Oryctolagus cuniculus: one gene and its partners. The protein of the gene in region 2 binds, or shares a complex with, the protein of the main gene of each other region. Links are inferred from orthologs where the notes say so. Each region holds a gene or a part of one and is shown on either strand. Other genes may lie near its edges. The genes, in order: GEMIN2, GEMIN5, SNRPD1, STRAP, SNRPD2 and GEMIN4.

The links.
Region 1: GEMIN5 (region 2) and GEMIN2 share a complex: the UniProt entries of both Homo sapiens proteins name them as parts of the SMN-Sm complex. The link is inferred for Oryctolagus cuniculus from reciprocal best matches to the Homo sapiens genes GEMIN5 and GEMIN2.
Region 3: GEMIN5 (region 2) and SNRPD1 share a complex: the UniProt entries of both Homo sapiens proteins name them as parts of the SMN-Sm complex. The link is inferred for Oryctolagus cuniculus from reciprocal best matches to the Homo sapiens genes GEMIN5 and SNRPD1.
Region 4: GEMIN5 (region 2) and STRAP share a complex: the UniProt entries of both Homo sapiens proteins name them as parts of the SMN-Sm complex. The link is inferred for Oryctolagus cuniculus from reciprocal best matches to the Homo sapiens genes GEMIN5 and STRAP.
Region 5: GEMIN5 (region 2) and SNRPD2 share a complex: the UniProt entries of both Homo sapiens proteins name them as parts of the SMN-Sm complex. The link is inferred for Oryctolagus cuniculus from reciprocal best matches to the Homo sapiens genes GEMIN5 and SNRPD2.
Region 6: GEMIN5 (region 2) and GEMIN4 share a complex: the UniProt entries of both Homo sapiens proteins name them as parts of the SMN-Sm complex. The link is inferred for Oryctolagus cuniculus from reciprocal best matches to the Homo sapiens genes GEMIN5 and GEMIN4.

The regions. Positions count from the first base shown.
Region 1 is NC_091443.1:36,529,034-36,533,275, reverse strand, and holds the start of GEMIN2 (gem-associated protein 2), read left to right. Parts: upstream 1-1,442; 5' UTR 1,443-1,454; coding exon 1,455-1,627; intron 1,628-1,975; coding exon 1,976-2,060; intron 2,061-4,242. UniProt on the Homo sapiens protein: The SMN complex catalyzes the assembly of small nuclear ribonucleoproteins (snRNPs), the building blocks of the spliceosome, and thereby plays an important role in the splicing of cellular pre-mRNAs.
Region 2 is NC_091437.1:41,797,243-41,800,742, reverse strand, and holds part of GEMIN5 (gem-associated protein 5), read left to right. Parts: intron 1-423; coding exon 424-509; intron 510-3,108; coding exon 3,109-3,191; intron 3,192-3,500. UniProt on the Homo sapiens protein: The SMN complex catalyzes the assembly of small nuclear ribonucleoproteins (snRNPs), the building blocks of the spliceosome, and thereby plays an important role in the splicing of cellular pre-mRNAs.
Region 3 is NC_091441.1:56,025,113-56,027,460, reverse strand, and holds part of SNRPD1 (small nuclear ribonucleoprotein Sm D1), read left to right. Parts: intron 1-1,556; coding exon 1,557-1,748; intron 1,749-2,348. UniProt on the Homo sapiens protein: Plays a role in pre-mRNA splicing as a core component of the spliceosomal U1, U2, U4 and U5 small nuclear ribonucleoproteins (snRNPs), the building blocks of the spliceosome.
Region 4 is NC_091440.1:113,735,126-113,737,851, forward strand, and holds the end of STRAP (serine-threonine kinase receptor-associated protein), read left to right. Parts: intron 1-336; coding exon 337-402; intron 403-1,657; coding exon 1,658-1,719; 3' UTR 1,720-2,226; downstream 2,227-2,726. UniProt on the Homo sapiens protein: The SMN complex catalyzes the assembly of small nuclear ribonucleoproteins (snRNPs), the building blocks of the spliceosome, and thereby plays an important role in the splicing of cellular pre-mRNAs.
Region 5 is NC_091449.1:11,275,662-11,279,627, forward strand, and holds the start of SNRPD2 (small nuclear ribonucleoprotein Sm D2), read left to right. Parts: upstream 1-1,166; 5' UTR 1,167-1,314; coding exon 1,315-1,316; exon of another isoform or gene 1,317-1,552; intron 1,553-2,523; coding exon 2,524-2,703; intron 2,704-3,966. Other genes in the region: QPCTL (glutaminyl-peptide cyclotransferase-like protein), read right to left, coding at 1-5, 388-582. UniProt on the Homo sapiens protein: Plays a role in pre-mRNA splicing as a core component of the spliceosomal U1, U2, U4 and U5 small nuclear ribonucleoproteins (snRNPs), the building blocks of the spliceosome.
Region 6 is NC_091448.1:46,442,130-46,446,357, forward strand, and holds the start of GEMIN4 (gem-associated protein 4), read left to right. Parts: upstream 1-1,428; 5' UTR 1,429-1,551; coding exon 1,552-1,561; intron 1,562-2,522; exon of another isoform or gene 2,523-3,668; intron 3,669-4,228. Other genes in the region: diazepam-binding inhibitor-like 5, read right to left, coding at 396-665. UniProt on the Homo sapiens protein: The SMN complex catalyzes the assembly of small nuclear ribonucleoproteins (snRNPs), the building blocks of the spliceosome, and thereby plays an important role in the splicing of cellular pre-mRNAs.

The DNA of each region.
Region 1 (4,242 bases), on a different chromosome or scaffold from region 2:
AAAGTATTTGTAAGAAAATCCAAAAATGAAGTCATTGCTTATTTTTTCAAATTTCTTCTTATCACCCAAATATTGGGGGACAGGAACACTTAGATGTCTCCATTTCTCTTCTCTTTAAGTCTGTTTTTCCCAAAATCAGTGAAAAAAGAATCTTTAATTCATCTGAAAGGCAGAGCAACATAGAGAGGGGAATAGAGAGAAAAACGGAGAGAATAGAAAAAGAGAGAGAGAGAGATCTTCCATCCATGGGTTCACTCTCCAAATGCCCCCAACAGGCAGGCCTGCTTGAAGACAGATCCAAGAAGCCCGGAACTCCTTCTGGGTCTCCCACGTGGATGGCAGGGATCCAAATACTTAAACCATAACCTTCTCCCTCCCAAGGTACACATTAGCAGGAAATCAAACCAAAGCAGAGTAGCCAGGACTCCAACCAGGCACTCAGATATGAAATGTAGATGACCCAAGCGGCGTCTTAACAGCTGCACCACAATGCCCACCCCAGTGAAAAATTTTTGATCAAATAACTTTCCAGTTTGACAGCAACTGTGTAGCTACAATTGGTAAGTACTACTAATTTCTTAGCTCTTTTAAGAACTGTTCTCCCTTTATCTTCAATTAAATGAGTTACATCCTGGTTGGAAAGCTAAAGGCAGTGCCAAAAAAAAAAAAAAAAAAAAAGTCTTAAAAGTATACACGTTAAAAAATAAAGGTCAATTGTATTCCCTCAGAGTCTGTTTACAAAAGATCAGATATAATACTTCCATTGTTTCTTGCACTTTGTGACTCAGAACAAGTTACTTAATTCATTTCTGTCTTGTTTGCACACCTATAAAATAAAAATAATAATAGCAACCACCTCACAGGATTGACCTAATATTAATAATGGTAATTTCTGAATGCTGGTGCTAGTTTTATCCTTTGATTATTTGTATTTAAGCAAAGAGATTTTTCATTCATTTGGTATCAGGATTGTAATTGCTTGGAAGAAAATCACAGTTGTAGAACTTAACTACTTTTTATGTCGATTTCTTCCCCCTCGAAACCGAAATAATACTAGCTTCTTCACAGGGTTGTTGTGAGAATTAAATGAGGAAATTTATAAAACGATTTTCCTGGGGTTTAAGAATTTAGAGCTCCAAAAATGATAATTATGCAAATACGTGATTTGATCCTAAAGCGTTTAAGGATCGTACACTAATAGGGATGAATAGAAGTTAATAACCCTCAGTCTTTACTCCAGCCTTAAACGAGAAAACACGATGTGAAAACCCGAAAACCGCTTTAGGACAACTTCCAGGAACCAAACCTGCGGCTCACTTTCCCACTGAAGCCTTAACCTCCAGGCAAGTAGTGCCTCTGCTCATGCGCACTTACGCTTTCTAAACTGCCGCAGGCTCTGCAGCGCGCCAAAATACACCTACTTGTGCGCCTGCGCCATGACCTAGACTAGGCGCATGCGCAGGGAGGGACCGGCTGGATTGAAAGCTATGGCGTGGGTACCTTCTTCCGAGTCGGCGGTGGAAGAGTTGATGCCCCGGCTGTTGCCGGTGGAGCCTTGCGACTTGACGGAGGGTTTCGATCCCTCGGTACCCCCAAGGACGCCGCAGGAGTACCTGAGGCGGGTCCAGTGAGTGCTTTGGCCCCGTACGGGTGGGCTCATCGTTCCCCCTGCCGCTGGGCAGGGCCCGTGGTGCCAAAAAGTCCCGTCCCTGTTGTCCCAGTTTATGCTCCGCATCTCTGGGTTACATCCCAAGTGGCGAGTTTCCTTTTAACTTGATAACGGATACCGAGATGTGTGTTCTTGGATTTCTTTGCTTTCAATCCAGATAATGTCAGACATCCCGTGTTTAGTACCCCAGTTGGAATTCTGGATTTTTAATTTCCTAATGAACTGTGGAAGTGGATCGCTTGTTTTACTGCACGCGAACAAAGCGCGATAGTAATTAAATTTCTTGCATTTATTGCTTATTTGTAGGATCGAAGCAGCTCAATGTCCAGATGTTGTGGTAGCTCAGATTGACCCAAAGAAGTTGAAAAGGAAGCAGAGTGTGAATGTTTCTGTGAGTTTTATAATCTTATGGGGATTTCCCTGACACACACATTCTTATAATATCCGAGAGTGTCGACTGTGGTGTACGTGATAGCTGACTGCTTCCTCTGGAGTTAAGCATTGGCTTGCACGCTTTGCCTCTGCCGCCTCGCAAGAACCTTTTCGTGACCTGGAGTTTATATGAAGACTTGCTCATCTTACTTTAGGGACGTGACCCAATACCTAAGGAGCCTTTAAATAGGCTACTTGCACTTTTATTTTTAAGGAACCTTTTTCCAGTTACGTTTTCATAATTACTTCTCTGGTGTTTATTTAGTGTAGTTTGCATGTTCTGAATTTGGCTGGTTTTTGTTTTTCTAAGAATAGAAAGCTGATCTCTTAGGCTTTTCTAGTTATGTGCATTTCTACTTATGGACACTTTTATTTATTTATTCAGCAAGTAGGAAAAGTAAAGTTAGTTGTTTTTGTTGTGACTAGGTTGTGCCAGGCTCTGGGAATACAATACAGGAAGGGATAAAAGATGCCTACCCTGATAGAGCTTACATTCTTCTGAAGAAGTTGGAGTAAACAAACAAAAATTAAAATTATGTATTGTGAATATTGCAGTGAAGAAAATAAACATCTATGATAATAAAAGAGAGAGCCCAGGTGGGCATTGTGGTGCAGCAGGTTGAGCTACGGCTTGGGACACCCATATAATAGTGCTGGTTACTCTGCTTTTGATCCAGCTTCCCAATAATACACTTGGGAAGCAGCAGATCATGGCCCAAGTATTTGAGTTCCTGCCACCCACATGGGAGACCTGCATGGAGTTCCTAACTTTGACCCAGCCCCAGCTGTTGCCATCTTTTGAGAAATAAACCAGGAGCCAGTGCTGTGGAGCAAAGGGTTAGGCTACTGTCTGCAGTGCTGGCATCCTATATGGGCACCAGTTTGGGTCCCAGTTGCCCCACTGATGGTGCACCTGGGAGAACAGTAAAGGATGGCCCAGGCGCTGGGTCCCCTGTCTCCCATGTGGGAGCCTTGGAAGAAGCTCCTGTCTCTGGGCTTTGGCCAGCCGAGCCCTGGCTGTTGGGGCCATTTGGGGAGTGAACCAGCAGATGGAGGATCTCTCTATCTTCTCTGTCTCTGTTTATCCCTCTTTTTCTGTCACTCTGATTTTCAAGTAAATAAATAAACCTTGGGGAGGAGAGAAGGGAGAATTACTTTAGTTGGAATAGTCATGGAAAGTCTATCTAATTTAGATATATCTAAATTATATTTAACCGAAGACCAAATAAAGAATGGCATTTTAAATTTTTATACTGGTATATCCTTTTCTTTCTACATTCTAAGCAATTTCTTTATCTGATATTTAAAATTATGAACATTTTAAATATTAATTTGTTATTACTATTGTTAGAGAGGGAGGGAGTACTTCCATCTACTGGTTCACTCTCCAAGTGCCCAGGATTGGGCTGAAATGAAGTTGGGAGTACAATGCTGGTCTCCCACCTTGGAGGCCAGAATCCAATTATTTGAGCTATCCCCACTGTCTCCCAAGGTCTGCATTAGCAGGAAGCTTGAGTTTGGAGCCAGAGCAGGGAGTGAATCCCTGGCACACCAGTGTAAGACACAGGCATCTTAGCTGTGAGGCCTACCCACTCCTCATCAGACACTAATGGGTTCATATAATTCCTTTTCATAAGTTTTTTAGTTTGTGGAACATGTAGTATGTATCTTACTTTAAAAAAGTGACCCTAATGAGTTTTATTTCAGAACAGTCCTATGTGATCAATTATGGACTATATACTCTTTTGGTAAACAAAAGTAGACTTCTTTTAAAGTCATGTCTTCAAATTATTTGAGTTCATTTTGTCCATACCAAAACTCTTTATTCTGAATATTTTTGTTTCAGTTTTATTATTATAGAAATGTAGGCCTAGATTATATCTCCAGAGATCATGTCATTTAATTTCCTAGAAACTCCCAACTATAAACCATTCCAGATTTCTCTTATTAAATAAAATATAGTGATCTTTTTTCTTACATTTTAAACCAAGACATAAATAGTGCAGTGAAAGGCCTACTTTTGTGTAACTGCAAAATGTACTTTTTGTCTTAGATCTTAGTTATTCTTCATCTTAGTTTTACATGTACCTTACAAAGGCATGGATTCTAGTTATAACACTAACATTGAACCTAACGCCTGT
Region 2 (3,500 bases):
TGGCTCTAAAAATTCTGAGTTCCATGCATATAAGGCATTTTCAAGAAAATGGATATTCTGAAAACTATGGGGGAAAATGGAGAATGCATATTCTGAAAAAACTACACATGGATTTCAAAATACTTGAAATTAACTTATGTTTCATTCTGTTTTCCCATGAACATTCTAAAGTACTCTTGTATATCTAAAGTTTATCCATAAAAATGCCTAAAAACACACAAAATTGGTGGATTGGGGGGGGTAGAGATGATTAGATCATGGTAACTTTCATTTTTTATTAAAAATATTAAATTCTTTGTTTTTCTCTTGAAATTGATTACAGTTAGAAGAAATGTCCATTTGAATGGTTGGAGCCTAATGTAAGGACTCCCTTAATGGCATGTCCCTCTTCTCATGTATTCTTATTGGAAACTTTTTTTGTAGCTGTGCTGGCACCCAAACAAGGAAGGTTGCTTAGCTTTTGGAACTGATGATGGAAAAGTGGGATTGTATGACACCTACTCCAGCAAGTAAGAAATGTGTGATTCTCTTCAGCCTGTTGACCAGAATATCAATGATGAAGATCAAAGTGGCATGAATGGCTTTTTTGGAATAAGATTCTGGCTCTGAAACTGAGGTTCAGAACTGAGAATTTTATTTTAAAAAGTTTTCAGGTGGTAGTATTTCAGCACATTTGATATTTGGTAACCACTGAAATAAACCATTATTTTGTTTTATGTGAGTTTTCAAGCATACATTAAAGTCGTAAAATTGGTAAAAGAATATCCATGTCCCTTCTATCTAGATTGATCAATTAACATATGGCCATACGTGTTTTATGTGATTTTATATGTGTTTTATCTGAAACATGTGAAGCAAGTTATAGTTCTCAGAATAAGGACATTCTATATAACTATAATATCCTAGTCACACAAGAAAATTAATAATTTCATAATATGATCTTATATATATAATGAGGTGCTTTTAAAAGTTCATAAAAATGCATATTATGAAAAAATTATGCATGGATTTCAGAAACTTTTTGTTCAAAACTTTTCTGTGAACTTTTCAAAATACCCTCAAGTTATAGCTCACTTTAGGTATCTTTTTTTTTTTTTAAAGGTTTATTTTCTTTATTTGAAAGAGTTACAGAGAAGTAGACAGAGAGAGAGAGAGAGGTCTTCTATGCGCTGGTTCACTCCCCAAATGACCTCAACGACCAAGTCTAGCCCAGGCCAAAACCAGAAGCTAGGAGCTTCTTCCGGGTCTCCCACGTGGGTGCAGGGGTCCAAGGACTTGGGCCATCCTCTGCTGCTTTCCCTGGCCATAGCAGAGAGCTGGATAGAACATGGAAGGGCCAGCACTGTGGCGAAGCAGGTAGAGCCTCCACCTGCACCACTGGTATCCCATATAGGCACCGGTTCAAGTCCTGGCTGTTCCACTTCCAGTCCAGCTCCCTGCTAATCTGCCTGGGAAGGCATCGGAGTATGGCCCAAGTGCTTGGGCCCTTGCACCCATGTGGGAGACTCGGAAGAAGCTCCTAGCTTTGGATCAGCCCAGCTCCAGCCACTGCAGCCCTTTGGGGAGCAAATCAGAGGATGGAAGACCGACCTCCCTCCTTCCCTCCCTCCCTCCCTCCCTCCCTCTCTCTCCCCCTCTCCCTCTCTCCCTCTCCCACTCCCTCTCCCTCTCCCTCCCTCTCTCTCCCTCCCTCCCCCTCCCTCCCCCTCCCCCCTCCCTCCTTCCCTCTATCTGTAACTTTGTCTTCAAATAAGTAAAAAAAAATTTAAAAAGTGGAGCATCTGGCACTCAAACCTGTGCCCATATGGGATGCTGATGCTTCAGGCCAGGGCTTTAACCCACTGAGCCACAGCACTGGCCCCACTTTAGGTATCTTATACATAGCTGTTCTAGAGGTTTGATGAAATTGCAGACCCGTGCAATTCAGTTTGGCAGCCAGTAGCAATATGTGGCTATTTGTACTTAGAATAGTTATAATTAAATAAAATTAGAGGGGCTAGTGTTGTGGTGGGTGCTGGCACTGCTGGCATCCCATACTGGAATGCTGGTTTAAATCCTGGCTGCTCTGCTTCCAGTCCACCTTCTTGCTAATGTACCTAGGAAGGCAGCAAAGGTGGCCCGAGGCTTGGACCCCTGCCACCCATATGGGAGACCGGGATGGAATTCTAGCTCCTAGCTTCTGCTTCACCCAATCTGGCTGTTGTGGCCATTTGGGAAGTGAACCAGCAAGCAAATGGAAGATCGGTCTTCTGTCTGTCCTCTCTATCTGCCTTTTAAATGAATAAATAAATAAATGTTTATTTTAAAAACCCTGCTTATTCTATTCCTTTTAGCCAAAGAAATTTTGGCTCATTATCTAGATTGTTCACTATAAATAAGTCAACAACTAGCTTGGTGATAGTTCTAGAATTCTAAAGTCATACAAGGGATATAATTTATATTAATAGTAATAACAGTGCAGCCCTTTGTTCCCCATGTCATTATCACCATAGTGACCTTAGAAAATATTCTTAAATGCAAGCCTTCTTTACGAGAGAATCAAAAACTACCAGTCTGTCCACCCTGAAATCTTTCAGTTTAAGATTGGGATGTTAGTCTCACTGGGTAAGTCTGAAAATGACTTCTGATCATCTCCATGAATATAAAATAAGGTGAATACATTTGGTTGATAATGATAAATGCTTAGCAATAACCCTAGTTCTGGGCTCAGTGGTATGCATCTTCTGAATTGACACATGGAAAAGACAGCCTATTTTTCTTTAGTTGTGATAACCTTTATGCTTCTGTAAAACTACAGTAATATTGGAGTACTTGACACTTAATTGAAGTGGGCTTTTCAGAATGAGAAATGAGGAAAATGATCCCAAACTGGCTGGATGGGTAGGAGTAGCATTTTTTTCTGGGTAAGATATCTTTAAGACTTCATCATTTTGGTAGCAGAAATCATTATGTAGTTTGTTGTAGTCAAATAGATAGATTAAGATATTGTTAAATTGTTTTTGTCTAATAGCAACTAATTATATAATAGGGACCTTTCAGAAAAATATGGTCTGTTTTACACTAAAAATTTTTTTTAAAAAATCTTTCTGTTTGTCCCCCACCCCATAGACCTCCACAGATTTCCAGCACATATCATAAGAAGACTGTGTACACGCTAGCCTGGGGGCCACCAGTACCCCCCATGTCACTTGGTAAGTGTTTGGGCCATTCTGTTAACAACTATGAGAGTATTCCCTTTTCTTTCTATTAAAGCTGAAAAGAATTCTAAATGCTCTAGTGCAGTGACTGCTTATGTAGTCTGCTGTGTCCTCTAGAGGTCTATAAAGTAGTAGTGGCAGGTCATAAATTGGCCTTGGTGGGAGAAGCCATTCCCCCATGACCCTCCCCAGTCTCAAAAGGAAGCACAGTTCTACTCTTGAAACTGAAATTCTTCATTGTACATAGAGTCAGCTCATTCTGGGTCCTGACCCCAGTCTACTGTTCTTCACTAAAACTTGTCA
Region 3 (2,348 bases), on a different chromosome or scaffold from region 2:
CTCTCTGCTGTGACCTGGGATGCAGTAGAAGATGGCCCAAGTCCTTGGGCCCCTGCACCCGCATGGGAGACCCCGAGGAGGCTCCTGGCTCCTGGCTTTGGATTGGCGCAGCTCTGGCCATTGCGGCCAATTGGGGAGTGAACCATCGGATGGAAGTGTGGGGAGCAACTGGGAGCAACTCGGACTAGACTAAGTTACTGGAATTAAGACTTATTCTATGCATCTGCTTTCCCACAATATGGCGCTGAGAAGGGAAACAGCTTCTACTCAGCTGCCTCCAGTTCAACCAATAAACTGTGGGACCTGCTCCTGATTGGAGGAGAGCAGCGTACTCGGCGTGTGGGTAGCAGAGTTGGGATTGGTGGAAGGACTATAAAGGAGGAGAGAGACAACATGCACCAGGAACATCTATGGGGAACATCTAAGGGGAACATCTAGCTGAAGGAACACCTGTGCAGCCCCCGAGAAGAGCCGGCCGGCGGTGTGCCGCTCCCCTGCGGAAGTGGGGAATGTGGCCAGGGGGAACTGCCCTTCCACGGAGGTGGAAGGGATAGTAGCCAACCCGGGAAGAACCAGCAGCAAACCCGGGGAGGGCCGAGCAGACGAAAGAACAGCGCAGGGTCTTGTGTCGTTCCTCCACGAAGAGGGGGAGCGACATAATGGTGCCGTGACTCGGATATGAAGCCTAGGCAGGGTTTAGTGTCGTTCCTCCACGAAGAGGGGGAGCGACAGGAAGATTTCTCTCTCACCCGCGCTCGCTCGCGCGCGCTCTCTCTCTCTCTCTCTGCCTCTCCTCTCTGTGTAACTCTGACTTTAAGTAAAATAAATAAATCTTTAAAAAAAGAAAAGTGAGAATAGTAGGGCAGACTTTGTGGCACAGTGGGTTAAACTACCTCTTGGGACTGATTCAAATCCTAGTCCAATCTAGCTTCCTACTGATGCTTATTCTGGGAGGCAGCAGATGATACGTCAAGTGTTTGAGTACCTGCTGCCCACATGGGAGACCTAGAAATTCCAGGTCCCCAGCTTTGGCCTGGCCCTGCCCTGCTGTTTTGGGTGTTTGGGGAATCAAACTGCAGGTGGAGAATCTCTCTGTCTCTGTTGCTGTGCCTTTCAAACAAATAAATTTACATTTTTTTTTAAAAGTGAGGATAACATGGTGGAATGCAATATAATGAAGTTATGGGGACAATATATGACACTTTTTTTTTTTTTTTTTTTTAAAGAATCTTGCCATAAATACTTGGCCAAACCTAAGATAGGAGGAGGATCCTTGGGTTGGTGGGCATAAAGCATGTGTAACAGGCAGGTTTCCACCAGGCTTTCTTCATTCACTTCTGCAAATGTAACTGGCAAAACCTCTAGGAAGGAATGAATACAGACTTAGGCTGACATTCCTCCTCCATTTACCCATTGCATATGTGCTAATTTGTGTTATGGAAACTTCCTTTGTAGCAAATGGTTCTCATCTGTAATATAGTATTTACCATGGCTTCATAGATTAATTGGTTGCCTTCCTTTTCGCGCTAGTAATTGTCCTGCTTTTTCCCTTCCAGGTGTAGATGTCAGCATGAATACGCATCTTAAAGCCGTGAAGATGACCCTGAAGAACAGAGAACCTGTACAGCTGGAAACACTGAGTATTCGAGGGAATAACATTCGCTATTTTATTCTACCGGACAGTTTACCTCTGGATACACTACTTGTGGATGTTGAACCCAAGGTGAAATCTAAGAAAAGGGAAGCTGGTAAGTTCGAGGGATTATATATGCTTTTGTGAATGGTGTACTTATACTCTATTCAGAATACAAATATTTGGCAACAGCACAGGAGGTTTTGTTGTTTTTTAGAATTTTCTTGTCATGTGTGCATCTGTTTATTGTAGCTCCTGATATTACTGTAAAAAAGATTGGTATTTTTATTTCCTGTTTTCTAGTACATGACCTGGTTCCCATTCTTGCCACTTTAGAAGATTTACAGATTGACTCTATTCCTGATATTATGAAATTCCTTAAAGATTTGGCATAGGGTTCTCTTGCCATCACCTCCGATCTTTTCTCCTTTTCTCCCCTTCCATTTTGTTGCTCTGGGTAGTAGACAGACTCCCCCCCCCCCCCCCCCCCCGGCAGAGTTAGTGAGAGAAAGAGAGAGAGAGAGAAAGGTCTTCCTTCCGTTGGTTCACCCCCCAAATGGCCGCTACGGCCGATGTGCTGCAGCCGGTGCACAGTGCCAATCCAAAGTCAGGAGCCAGGTGCTTCCTCCTGGTCTCCCATGCAGGTGCAGGGCCCAAGCACTTGGGCCATCCTCCACTGCACTCCCGGGCCATAGCATTGGGCTGGCCTGGAAGA
Region 4 (2,726 bases), on a different chromosome or scaffold from region 2:
AAAATTTACTTGTGGACAATATAAAAAATTTACAGGTAAATGTATCTAATCTCTGAATAGTATTACTGATCCTTGCCAAAAAGGTAGACATGATATCTTGATTACTGATCCCAGAGTAGCTACAGTGAGAACCTAAAAGTAATTTTTGAGAAAAGACATACTATTATAGAACCACAGTTATATAAAAAGGAATTTTTCCTATTGTATTTTGTAACTCATTGCTTGTTGTAATCTTATCTTACTCTTCTTACTTATTAAGGACTAAAAATTACTTGAGATATTGACATCATCAGCCATCATTGCCATAATCAATCATCATTGCTTATCTTTCCATAGAAGAAGACAGTGGTGAGCTGGCCAAGCCGAAGATCAATTTCCCAGAGACAGCAGAAGAGGAGCTAGGTAAACTCTAATATTAGAGTGACCGCTTTCAGTCATTCATTTGTTATATACTCATTGGAAAAAGAATCCTAAATGTGAACATAGAAGTATTTAATAATGGAAGGTTTATAGAGTTACATATTTACATGTACTTTTTTATAAACTAAGTCTTTATGTAGTAGGTGTTTACTATGTAGTAGGCACTGAGGTACAGTGTAGACATGTTATTGTTATAGAGTATAACCTAGGAGACAGATGTTGTTTTAGCACAGTATTTAGACACATGACCACAATTTTAAGGCCAGTAAGAGAAAGCTTCTAGGAGAAGTAACATTTAAACTTGGACCTGAGGATTAGCAGAATGACTAAGGTAATGAGTGACATAGGTAGTATGAGCAGGGCAGGGAGGTTAACAGCATGAAAGAAACAAAGGCTCAGAAGCAGAAAGGAGCACAGCATAGGAGGAACCACAAGAAATTCATTGTTTCCAGTTAAAAAGCAAGGGCATAGTGTGGCTGGAGAAGCTAGATCATTCAGAGCCTCGTTTGCTATTTTAAGACTCGAGTTTTATTCCAAGTACAATGAGAAACCCTTGAATTTTAAGAATAATAATAGTTAATAAATTGTGGAAACAAGAGTAAACATAGACCAGATAGGTGTCACTGCATTCTAGATGAACAATCCTTGGTTTAGAATTGGGGAACAGCGTTGAGAACAGAAAAAGGTAGATGAAGGAGAGTCATTTCTTTTAGAATTGATAAAACTTGGTAAGTTTATTAGATGTACATTGGAAGTATGATAAGAAAGATTCGAGATTGCTGGCATGACAAACTGGGTGTGATGATTGAAGGGGGAACTTGGGAAGAGATTTAGCATTTACGAGGAATTTTTCTTTATTAAGTATTTTTTTGTAAAAAACTTAATGTTTGATGGTTAATGTTTTGATTTTGAATAGCATTAAATATTGAGGTTTGAATCACTAAAGGAAAGAGCCATATCTTTTAAAGAGATGACTTTAATTCAGTGTTCATTGGATAGCTAGAGTTGTTGAAAATTTAGTCCAGAAACTGTGACCCGTAGAAGTTAAGTTACGATTGTAACCATGAACGTGTTCTTCCTTGTTTTTTCAATGGCATGAATTTAGTCATTGAAGACATGTGTAGTTGTTCACTTTTTCTCCTCCCTCACCACAGTTCTTCTTCAAAAGATCTTTACTTTTTATATAGAATTTTATAGTTGCTTCTTTGTTAAACTAATGTATGTTTTTTAATTGTAGAAGAAATTGCTTCAGAGAATTCAGATTCCATCTATTCTTCAACTCCTGAAGTAAAGGCCTGAGCATGAAGCATTTGCCACAGATAATATACAGTTTATGGACTAAGATGAGCAAGCAGAGAATAGCGTCAGCCTCCCAGAGTTACTCTCTGCTTAGGACAACCACAGCAGTAAATAATGGGGAATATGAATTAGCTTGAGTTTCGGAACTACTAACGTGGTGTTACCTGTAAGTGAAAACTCAGGAGTATCTGACGAAGGCAGGTGGAGTTATGCTATTATAATACAACAGCCTGTTGTCTTTTTAATGAATATGTGCAAGCCAACATCCAATTTCTCTTATTACAATTAGATTTCTTGTAGCTGTTTATGTTATTATGGAAAAGAAAAATATATTGGCCTATTTTTCTGACTTTCCCTTACAGCAGAATGCTTTTTTTTTTCCTTTTCTTTACTTGCAAAGAAGAGGGAATACATGATAAAGTAACTGGTTTGATTTCTTTTCATTGTACCTGCTTCAGAACATCTAATTGTTTTTAGTTGTCTAAATAAAATGTCTCTAAAACAAAAGAGTGTTTGTTTCTTTGGGAAAAACTGATAGATATATCTAGAAATAGCCTGAACGTTTTTCTACATTGTAACCATAGCAAAAGGCAGTTTGCTTGAAGAATCTGTAGTGAACGTTGTTTCCTAATTTTGAAATTAAGTGGCCGGCGCCACGGCTCAATAGGCTAATCCTCCAACCTCGCGGCGCCGGCACACTGGGTTCTAGTCCCGGTCGGGGCGCCGGATTCTTTCCCGGTTGCCCCTCTTCCAGGCCAGCTCTCTGCTGTGGCCCAGGAAGGCAGTGGAGGATGGCCCAAGTGCTTGGGCCCTGCACCCCATGGGAGACCAGGAGAAGCACCTGACTCCTGCCTTTGGATCCAGCGCAGTGTGCCAGCCGCAGCACGCCAGCCATGGCGGCCATTGGAGGGTGAACCAATGGCTAAAGGAAGACCTTTCTCTCTGTCTCTCTCTCACTGTCCACTCTGCCTGTCAAAAAAAAAAAAAGTACTGAATTTTTGAAATTT
Region 5 (3,966 bases), on a different chromosome or scaffold from region 2:
GGCGTCTAAAGAAGAGAAGAATGAGCGCACTGCTCCCTCCCCCCAAAAGCCCGGGTGCCTCCGCGGCATGGGAGACTTCCAGGATCAAAGTCTCTCCAAGCCCACCCGGTTTAGCCTACCCCTCGATCGTGACATGGAAACCGAAGCCCAGCGAGGGGAAGGGAGGCTTCCAAGAGTTGCCTTTCGGGCGTGGAACCCAAAACCCTCATCCTGACGACTCCGGAGCCTTTCTTTCCAGGGGGCGCGTTGGGAGGGGGCTTGCGCTCCGGGGAGGCAGCCGGTGGCACCTGCGGCCAGGGCCCCAGGTAGCGCCACGTCAAACCGAAACTCGGAAAGAGGAAGCGGGGAGAGAGGGCCCTCCAGTGCCCGCGCCGCGCCCAGCCTCACCCGCGGCAGCTCCTCGGTCCTGCGGTGCCAGCTGCCCCACAGCGTGTAGAGGGCCGAGCCCACGGCCAGCGCCAGCAGCAGCACGGGCAGCAGCTGCGCCCGCGGGAGCAGGCGGCGCTTGAGCGGCGAGCTCGGCTCCATCAGGCCGCGCTCCCCGAGCCGGGGCCGGGGCCGCCCGCGGCCCCCGGGACGCATGGCAGCTTTGCCCTGAAACCGGCCAGGGACCGCGGATGGAGTTCAGGCCCAGCCAAGTCCCACCCCATGGAATCACAAAGCCAATGAGCGACAAGAGCGCCGGGCACCACCCCGGCCCGGCGAGCCGGGTGCAGCTCCCGAGGACAAGCCTCCCCGGAGGCCCGGGGTGTCGCGATTGGCTCCCAGAGGGGTTGCACAACCCCCAGAGGGGACGCGAAGGCGTGCGGCCCGCCCCGGCGGAGCGGGTAAAGCCAATGGGCAGCGCCCGGCCGCGGAAAGGGATTGGTTCCGCGGGACGGGAAGATCCAGCGAGGCGTCAGGCCCCGAAGCCGGGACCGGATTGGCTTCGTGGAGGCCGCGCCCCCGGAGACGGGGCTGGCGGGCATTTAGAAACCTCTGGCCGTTTCCCTCCTGCAGCCTGTCCCGCCTCTACCACGAAGCGGCGCGACTCGGACTCTCTGTCTTGGTCTCTCCATCCCGATGAACACCTGCCCGCTGTGGTCCTTAAAGGCCTCGAACTGCCGCTCGCGGCTTCGGCCCCCTCGCTGCGCAGCCGGCGGGGGTCGCTATGGCAACAAGCCACGCCCCAGCCCGCCGGGTGGGTTTGCGCAGGCGCCCACGGAAGTGGCCCGCCGGAAGCGGAAGTCCCGCCCCTCTCGCGCTCCATCCGCAGAGGCAGAAGCAACGCGGAGGAGGTTGGAGTGAGAGTGACCCGAACGCGGGGCCGGCACCATGTGAGGCCGGGCTGGGCTTAAGCGGCGGGCGTGAGGTTGTGGGTGCGAATGCGGCCGATTAGCGGCGGAAGGGGGCGGCAGCGCCGGGGGCGGAGCAGAGCTCTCGGGCGAATTTTCTGTAATGAGCGTGGGACCGGCCCCCGGGGCCTCTGGCGGACCCTGAGTCCGCGAGGGCCGCCAGCTCTGTGAGAGAACGGGCAGCGGCTCCTCCGCGTCATCAGCTCGCTGGAGTGAAGGTTAAGAAGCGGCTTCTCGAGTTACAGAAGCCGGGGAGCGGGCGCGGGCTTTTAGGCATAGCGATTGGGGGCGAGGGGCTTGGAACGTGAGCTGGGGCCGGGGGCCGTGGCTGCTCGGCCTGATTCGCAACGACGCCGCGGCTGGGGCTGCAGGCTCAGCCGGGGGCCCTGGGAGGGTTCCGAAGAGGCTGCCGTGAGTTAGGCTTGCGCACGGCCCCCAGGCTGCCCCTGGGTGCAGGTAGCCCTGGCACGGAGGTCGGATTCTGCAGCCGGCCGGGGGGAGGGGTACGGCCGGCAGACGCATTGATTCGGCCCTGCCGAGCGGGACTACGGCAGGCTGGTTTTTAAGCCGGCGCCCGAGTGCTGTTCTGAACACCGAGGCTGGCCAGCCCCGAGTGGCCGGGCAGGCCTTTCTCCTGTGACTGTTGCCCGGGCTCCACGGGGTCGCAGCACAGTCAGGTCCCGTTACGCTGTAACCTGGAGATGACTTAGCGAGCGGGAGGTGTGCGCAGGGTGTGTGTGTGTGCGTCCCCGCCATCCCACCTAAGGGATCCGAGCCGCTGAGGCTTCCGGGACCCGGGCAACGCGGATCCTGGGACCAGCCCCCTGTGGATGCCGAGGGACAAGCGTCCGATTGTGGGGCAGTGGGCGTCAGACGCCAGGGGGAGGAAGGTGGGGGCGCCGTAGAGCAAGTCCTGACAGTGGCTGCTGTCCGAGTTGCCGTGGGAGACGAAAGAGGAGTGGACGTCCGCTTCTGCCCGGCCAATGAGAAGGGCGGACTTACCCCCCAGGGAGTGGTGTGCCCTGGGTGCAGCAGGCTGGGGAGGGGGCCTAGCGGGAGCTGAGCCGGGGCGGGCGGGGTTGGGGATGGCTGGTGGCTTCCAGGTGCTGATGCCTAGAGACCAGGCCGGCAGGGCTGGGGGGCGGCCCCGGCTCCTCCCCTCACCCGCGGGTCCCTCCTCCCCCGTCAGGAGCCTCCTCAACAAGCCCAAGAGCGAGATGACCCCCGAGGAGCTGCAGAAGCGGGAGGAGGAGGAGTTCAACACGGGCCCGCTCTCCGTGCTCACGCAGTCGGTCAAGAACAACACGCAGGTGCTCATCAACTGCCGCAACAACAAGAAGCTGCTGGGCCGCGTGAAGGCCTTCGACAGGTGCGCGGCCGGGGGCGGGGCCTGGCCCGGGAGGGAGGGGCCTGCGGGCGGGGCTCCTCCGAGGCCGCGCCTCCCGCCCTGCCCTGCGGTGGGCGCCAGCCGGCCCCTGCTGTGCTGTCCCTCTGAGCGGCCAGGCGACCCTCAGCGCGTGCCGTTATCTTGTCCGCACAGTGGCAGGCAGTCGTCGCGGTGGATACAGAGATGCGGTGACTTAACACGCATGAAGTGCCTGGCCACAGGACACCTTTTGGTTCATTCATTGAAAGAGAAGCGGAGAGACGGAGAGAGCTCCCACCTGCTGGGCACTCCCCGGATGTCCACAGTGGGGCCAGAGCCGGGGGTAGCACGCAGGCAGGCTTTTAATATTTTATTTATTTTGAGAGGTAGAGTTATGGATAGAGACACAGAGAGGTCTTCCATCCGCTGGTTCACTGAGCTGAGCTGACCAGGAGCCAGGAGCTTCTCCTGGTCTACCACGTGGATGCAGGGGCCCAAGCACTTGGGCCATCTTTTGCTTTCCCAGGCCACAGCAGAGAGCTGGATCGAAGAGGAGCAGCCGGGCCTCGAACCGGCACCCTTGTGGGATGCTGGCGCTGCAGGCCAGGGCGTCAGCCCACCAACCACAGCGCCGCCCCCGTGTGTTCTGTGGTGTCTCACTCACGCACTCACCGTGCCCCTGGCCGTCCTTTGTGGTGCCCACAGCCTTGCAGAGGTGCCCCTGGCAGGGCTCGGTCCTGCAGGAGAACCTTCCAGGCGCTCTCCTGCCGCCCGGTTCTGCTGGTCCTGGCCTGAGAACACTGCGGCCAGCGGGCTGTTGCCTGCCCCCTCAGCCCCTCCCACCCGCGACTGAATGCGCAGTGTGTGCAGGTGGGGCGGGTTCATTCAAACAGGCACCTGATGACGGGCGATCTCCTTCCTGCGCCCTCCCTCCAGGGACCGCCCCCCTGGTGGTCACAGATCCGCAGGAGTGTGGTGTGACTGAAACATCACATGTGTTGGAAGATGGGGGCTTCTTAGCCTTTTTTTTTTTTTTTTTTTTTTTTTTGACAGGCAGAGTGGACAGTGAGAGAGAGAGACAGAGAGAAAGGTCTTCCTTTTGCCGTTGGTTCACCCTCCAATGGCCGCCGCGGTCGGCGCGCTGCTGATCCGATGCCAGGAGCCAGGTGCTTTTCCTGATCTCCCATGGGGTGCAGGGCCCAAGCACCTGGGCCATCCTCCACTGCACTCCCTGGCCACAGCAGAGAGCTGGCCTGGAAGAGGGGC
Region 6 (4,228 bases), on a different chromosome or scaffold from region 2:
GTTGCCTTTCCCCGGCTGTATTCCGTGGAGCTCCTGGAAGACAGAGCCCTGTTCCCCTCCCTTAGTGTTGGGTTATTGGTCAGTTGAAGAAATTAGGGGTCTAGGGCCACAGCCTCTCTAGAGACCAAGTTGCTGATCTCAGGACAGGCGTGTGCCATGAGTCTCCTCCCAGCCCTGACAAACAGCTCCCATGTTCTGGGCATGGGAGGCTGGGACGGGCACTCAGAACCATGCCGAGAGGAGAGCCAGGGGAGTGGGCTTCTCGGCCCCAAGCCCCCCTTCCACGAGCAGTCGCAGGCACGTGGTCTAAGGGGTTTATTGATGCCCAGCCGTCCCCGCCCCCCTCCAGGGCACTGGAGAAGCACACTCCCTGCCAGGGGAGCCGTGCCGCTTCCCTAGCCAGCCTCAGTTTTCTTCAGCTCTTCCACTTTGGCCACGTAGTTCCTCATGGCATCCATCTTGGACATGCCTTTATTCTTGTTCCACGCCTCCCACTTGGCCGTGGCTTTCACTTCCGACGTAGGAGGCTCGGGGATGTTGCAGTCGCCCTGGGTGGCCTGTTTATAGAGGCTGTACAGCTGCAGCTTCTCCTGATCGCTCATGGGGTTCTTCAGCTGCTTCACGGCCGCGCACGCCAACTCGAACTCTACCTGGCACATTGCCATGCCTGAGGCGCGGCCCCTCTGGCCTTCCTAGCCGGCGCAGGAGCTGCGGGGGGAAGAGTTAGAAACACGTGAGGCCAGTAACGAGGTCTTGGCTAGAAAGGAAAGGGAGACGGCACTGTGTCTGTTCAGGTGTATGGTTTTTTTGTTTGTTTGTTTGTTTTGTTTTTTGACAGGCAGAGTTAGGGAGAGACAGAGAGAAAGGTCTTCCTTCCGTTGGTTCACCCCAAATGGCCGCTATGGCCGGCGCTGCGCTGATCCGAAGGCAGGAGCCAGGTGCTTCTCCTGGTCTCCCATGGGGTGCAGGGCCCAAGCACTTGGGCCATCCTCCACTGCGCTCCCTGGCCACAGCAGAGAGCTGGCCTGGAAGAGGAACAACGGGGACTAGAACCTGGGGTACCGGCGCCGCAGGTGGAGGATTAGCCAAGTGAGCCGAGGCGCCGGCCTCAGGTGCATGTTTTTATCAGTATGGGTGAACTGTGTGCGGGACATACCCGCGCTCCTGTCCTGCGGGACGGTGACTACGAGGCCGGGGGCTCCTGCACAGCACCGACTGGGACCTAGGAAGCCAGGTGGGTGGCCCGGCGGAGCACGCGGCGGGAGAGGAAGACCCCCGGAACCTGCCTGCTGGCTGGAGGGAGGCCTCGGGCCGGGAGGGGGCGCTGTGGGCTTGGCGGCCAAGGCGCCGCGAGCTCTCTGGTGAGGAGCGCGCGTGCGCGCGCAGCGGCGGGAGTCGGCGGCGAACGGCGCGAGAGCGGCGGCAGAGGCCGTGGGCGGGGCCTGCCGCCCCCCGCGCCGCCCATTGTGCGGTGGCGCCTGCGCCGCGCTCCTGGCTTTCGAGGGGGAGGGGCGGCCTGGCGCCCCCCGCGCCACCTCCCGCTTCGCCGCCATGGACCTAGGTGGGTGCCCCGGTTACGCTGCCCCGGGCCGGCCCGCGACGCGCCGCCTCCCGCCGCGCACGCCCGGCGGGCTCGGGCTCGGGCTCCTGGGGCCCTCGTGGTCGGGAGGGGCTGAGGAGGATCCAGGGCGTCCTTAGAGCGGGAGGGCGGCGGCGAGGCCGGGCGCAGCGCTCCTGAGCCGGCCTCCTGCGCCCTCCGGTCCCGCGTCGTACGTGAGAAGCGGAGCGGCGGTAAAGCGAGGTGTCCCGGGAGCGACGGGCTTAGCGCACGTGCAGGGGGCCATGCCGGCCTCGCTAGCTGAGCGTCCGCGGAGTTGCTCAGCGAGTTGCTCACCCACTGGCGTTCCCTGCCGGATAACGTGGGTGTGACGACACCGCGCCGCCCTCGCCGAGTGGCCGGGAGTAAACTTTGGGATCGCCGGGTGCGGAGTGCCCCTGCCGCGGGGCCTGGGCGGAGGCGCGCGGCTGCGGAAGCCCTGCTTTCTTCTGATCTGGGATCCGCTGGCTCAGTGCCCAGATGCCCTGGCACTCAGTCCAGGTCTCCCACTCGGGTGCAGGCACCCAAGTGCTTGAGCCATCACCTGTTGCCTCCCCCGGTGTACATGGTCCGGAAGCCGGATAGGAAGCGGAGCCGGGATTCGAACCCGGGCACTTGGGTCTGGGACGTGGGTGTCCCACTTGGAATATGGTGCTCTTTGAACCTGCCTGCCTGTTGGTTGAGAATCCTGGCAAGGTCTGGAAAAAAGGGAGGGAGGACCTAATAGAAGTCAGTGGCTCCTGCCAAGTGTCCCCACCTGTGGGATATGCCCTTAAACTCGGGTTGAGCCCGGGAGGCAGCTTGAGAAACGCTGATAGTAGTATGGTGTGGAGCAGGGTTTGAGTCTGTCCCCCAGCCAGCTCCTCGTGGTGGTGGAATGACAGATTGGGAAGGGGCATCCCTGCAGCTGTGGCGAATTTTTTTTTTTTTTTTTTTAAGATTTATTTATTTGAGGCTGGCGCCGTGGCTCACTAGGCTAATCCTCTGCCTGTGGCGCCGGCACCCTGGGTTCTAGTCCCGGTTGGGGCGCCGGATTCTGTCCTGGTTGCCCCTCTTCCAGTCCAGCTCTTTGCAGTAGCCCGGGAAGGCAGTGGAGGATGGCCCAGGTCCTTGGGCCCTGCTCCCGCATGGGAGACCAGGAGAAGCACCTGGCTCCTGGCTTCAGATCGACGCAGCACGGCGGCCATAGCGGCCATTTTGGGGGTGAACCAACGGAAAAAGGAAGACCTTTTTCTCTCTCTCTCTCACTGTCTAACTCTGCCTGTCAAAAAAAAAAAAAATTATTTATTTGAAAGGCAGAGTTAGGGAGAAACAGAGAGAGATCGTCCATTCACTGATTCACTCCCCAAATGGCGGCAATGGCTGGGGCTGAGCTAGGCTGAAGCCGGAAGCTTCTTCCAGGTCTCCCACGTGAGTGCAGGGGCCAAAGGACTTGCCCATCTTCCGCTGCTTTCCCAGGTGCATGGTGGGGAGGGCCTCAAACCATTAAGTCACAGTGCCACTGCTTTGTGGTGGTGACACCCTGAGCAAAATACCTGAACATCAACCTCTAAAACAGGAATAGTCCTCAGAAGGTTATTTTGAAGATTAAAAGAGACCTTCCATGTGTACCAGCTAGCACGGTGCCTGGTGTGCGCGGGCACTTAGCAAACATCAGAAGTGGGCACCAGTTAACCATTAGTGATAAAACACTTGGGTTTTTCCCAGTTGCTAACTGTTCCTGGGGCTTGTTCAGGGAGCACTTGGACATTCCTGTGTCTGTTGGGGACCACGCATCTGCTCTGCTGAGCTGATAGTGCGATAAAATTACACTGAGAAGAGTCACAGGTTGGCCGGCGCCGCGGCTCACTAGGCTAATCCTCTGCCTGTGGCGCCGGCACCCCAGATTCTAGTCCAGTTGGGGCACCAGTTCTGTCCTGGTTGCTCCTCTTCCAGTCCAGCTCTCTGCTGTGGCCCAGGAGGGCAGCGGAGGATGGCCCAAGTGCTTGGGCCCTGCACCCGCATGGGAGACCAGGAGGAAGCACCTGGCTCCTGGCTTCGGATCGGCGCAGCGCGCCGAGAAGAGTCACAGGTGAGGAGCCAGCATTTTGGCGTAGCAGGCAGAGCCACTGCCTGCCACACCAGTTCATGTCCCAGCTGCTCCACTTTCAATCCAGCTCCGGACTGATGGCCTGGGAAGAGCAGTGGGAGGAGACCCAGATGAAGCTGCTGTCTTCAGCCTGGCCCGGTGCTGGCCAGAGTGTTCAGTAGGGAGCATACTTTGGGGCTGTGGGAGAGCTGTGGCTGGAGAGAAGAGCCATTGCCCCAGGCAGATCCTTGAGCTCCTCCGCTGAAGGAGGGGGTCTGCCTAGGCGCGGGGGGCCTTCCCAGCCAGGGCGCGGGGGAGTCTCCTCCCTGGGCCTTCCGCCGCCCTTGCAGGGCTGTGTGATTCAGTGTTCCCCATTCAGCATCTTCTCTGCTGGCGTCTGCCCTGTGAAATGGTGAAGAGGTGCTCTTGGGGCTTGGGGGACTGTGCAAGGGCTTGCATCTCTGGGTCCTGGGAAGGGGCGGAGTCAGTGCTGGACAGTGAGCAGTGTTTGCAGTCTGAATTTAGTTCCTGGGCCCGAAGTAACGGACCTGATAAAGACCCGT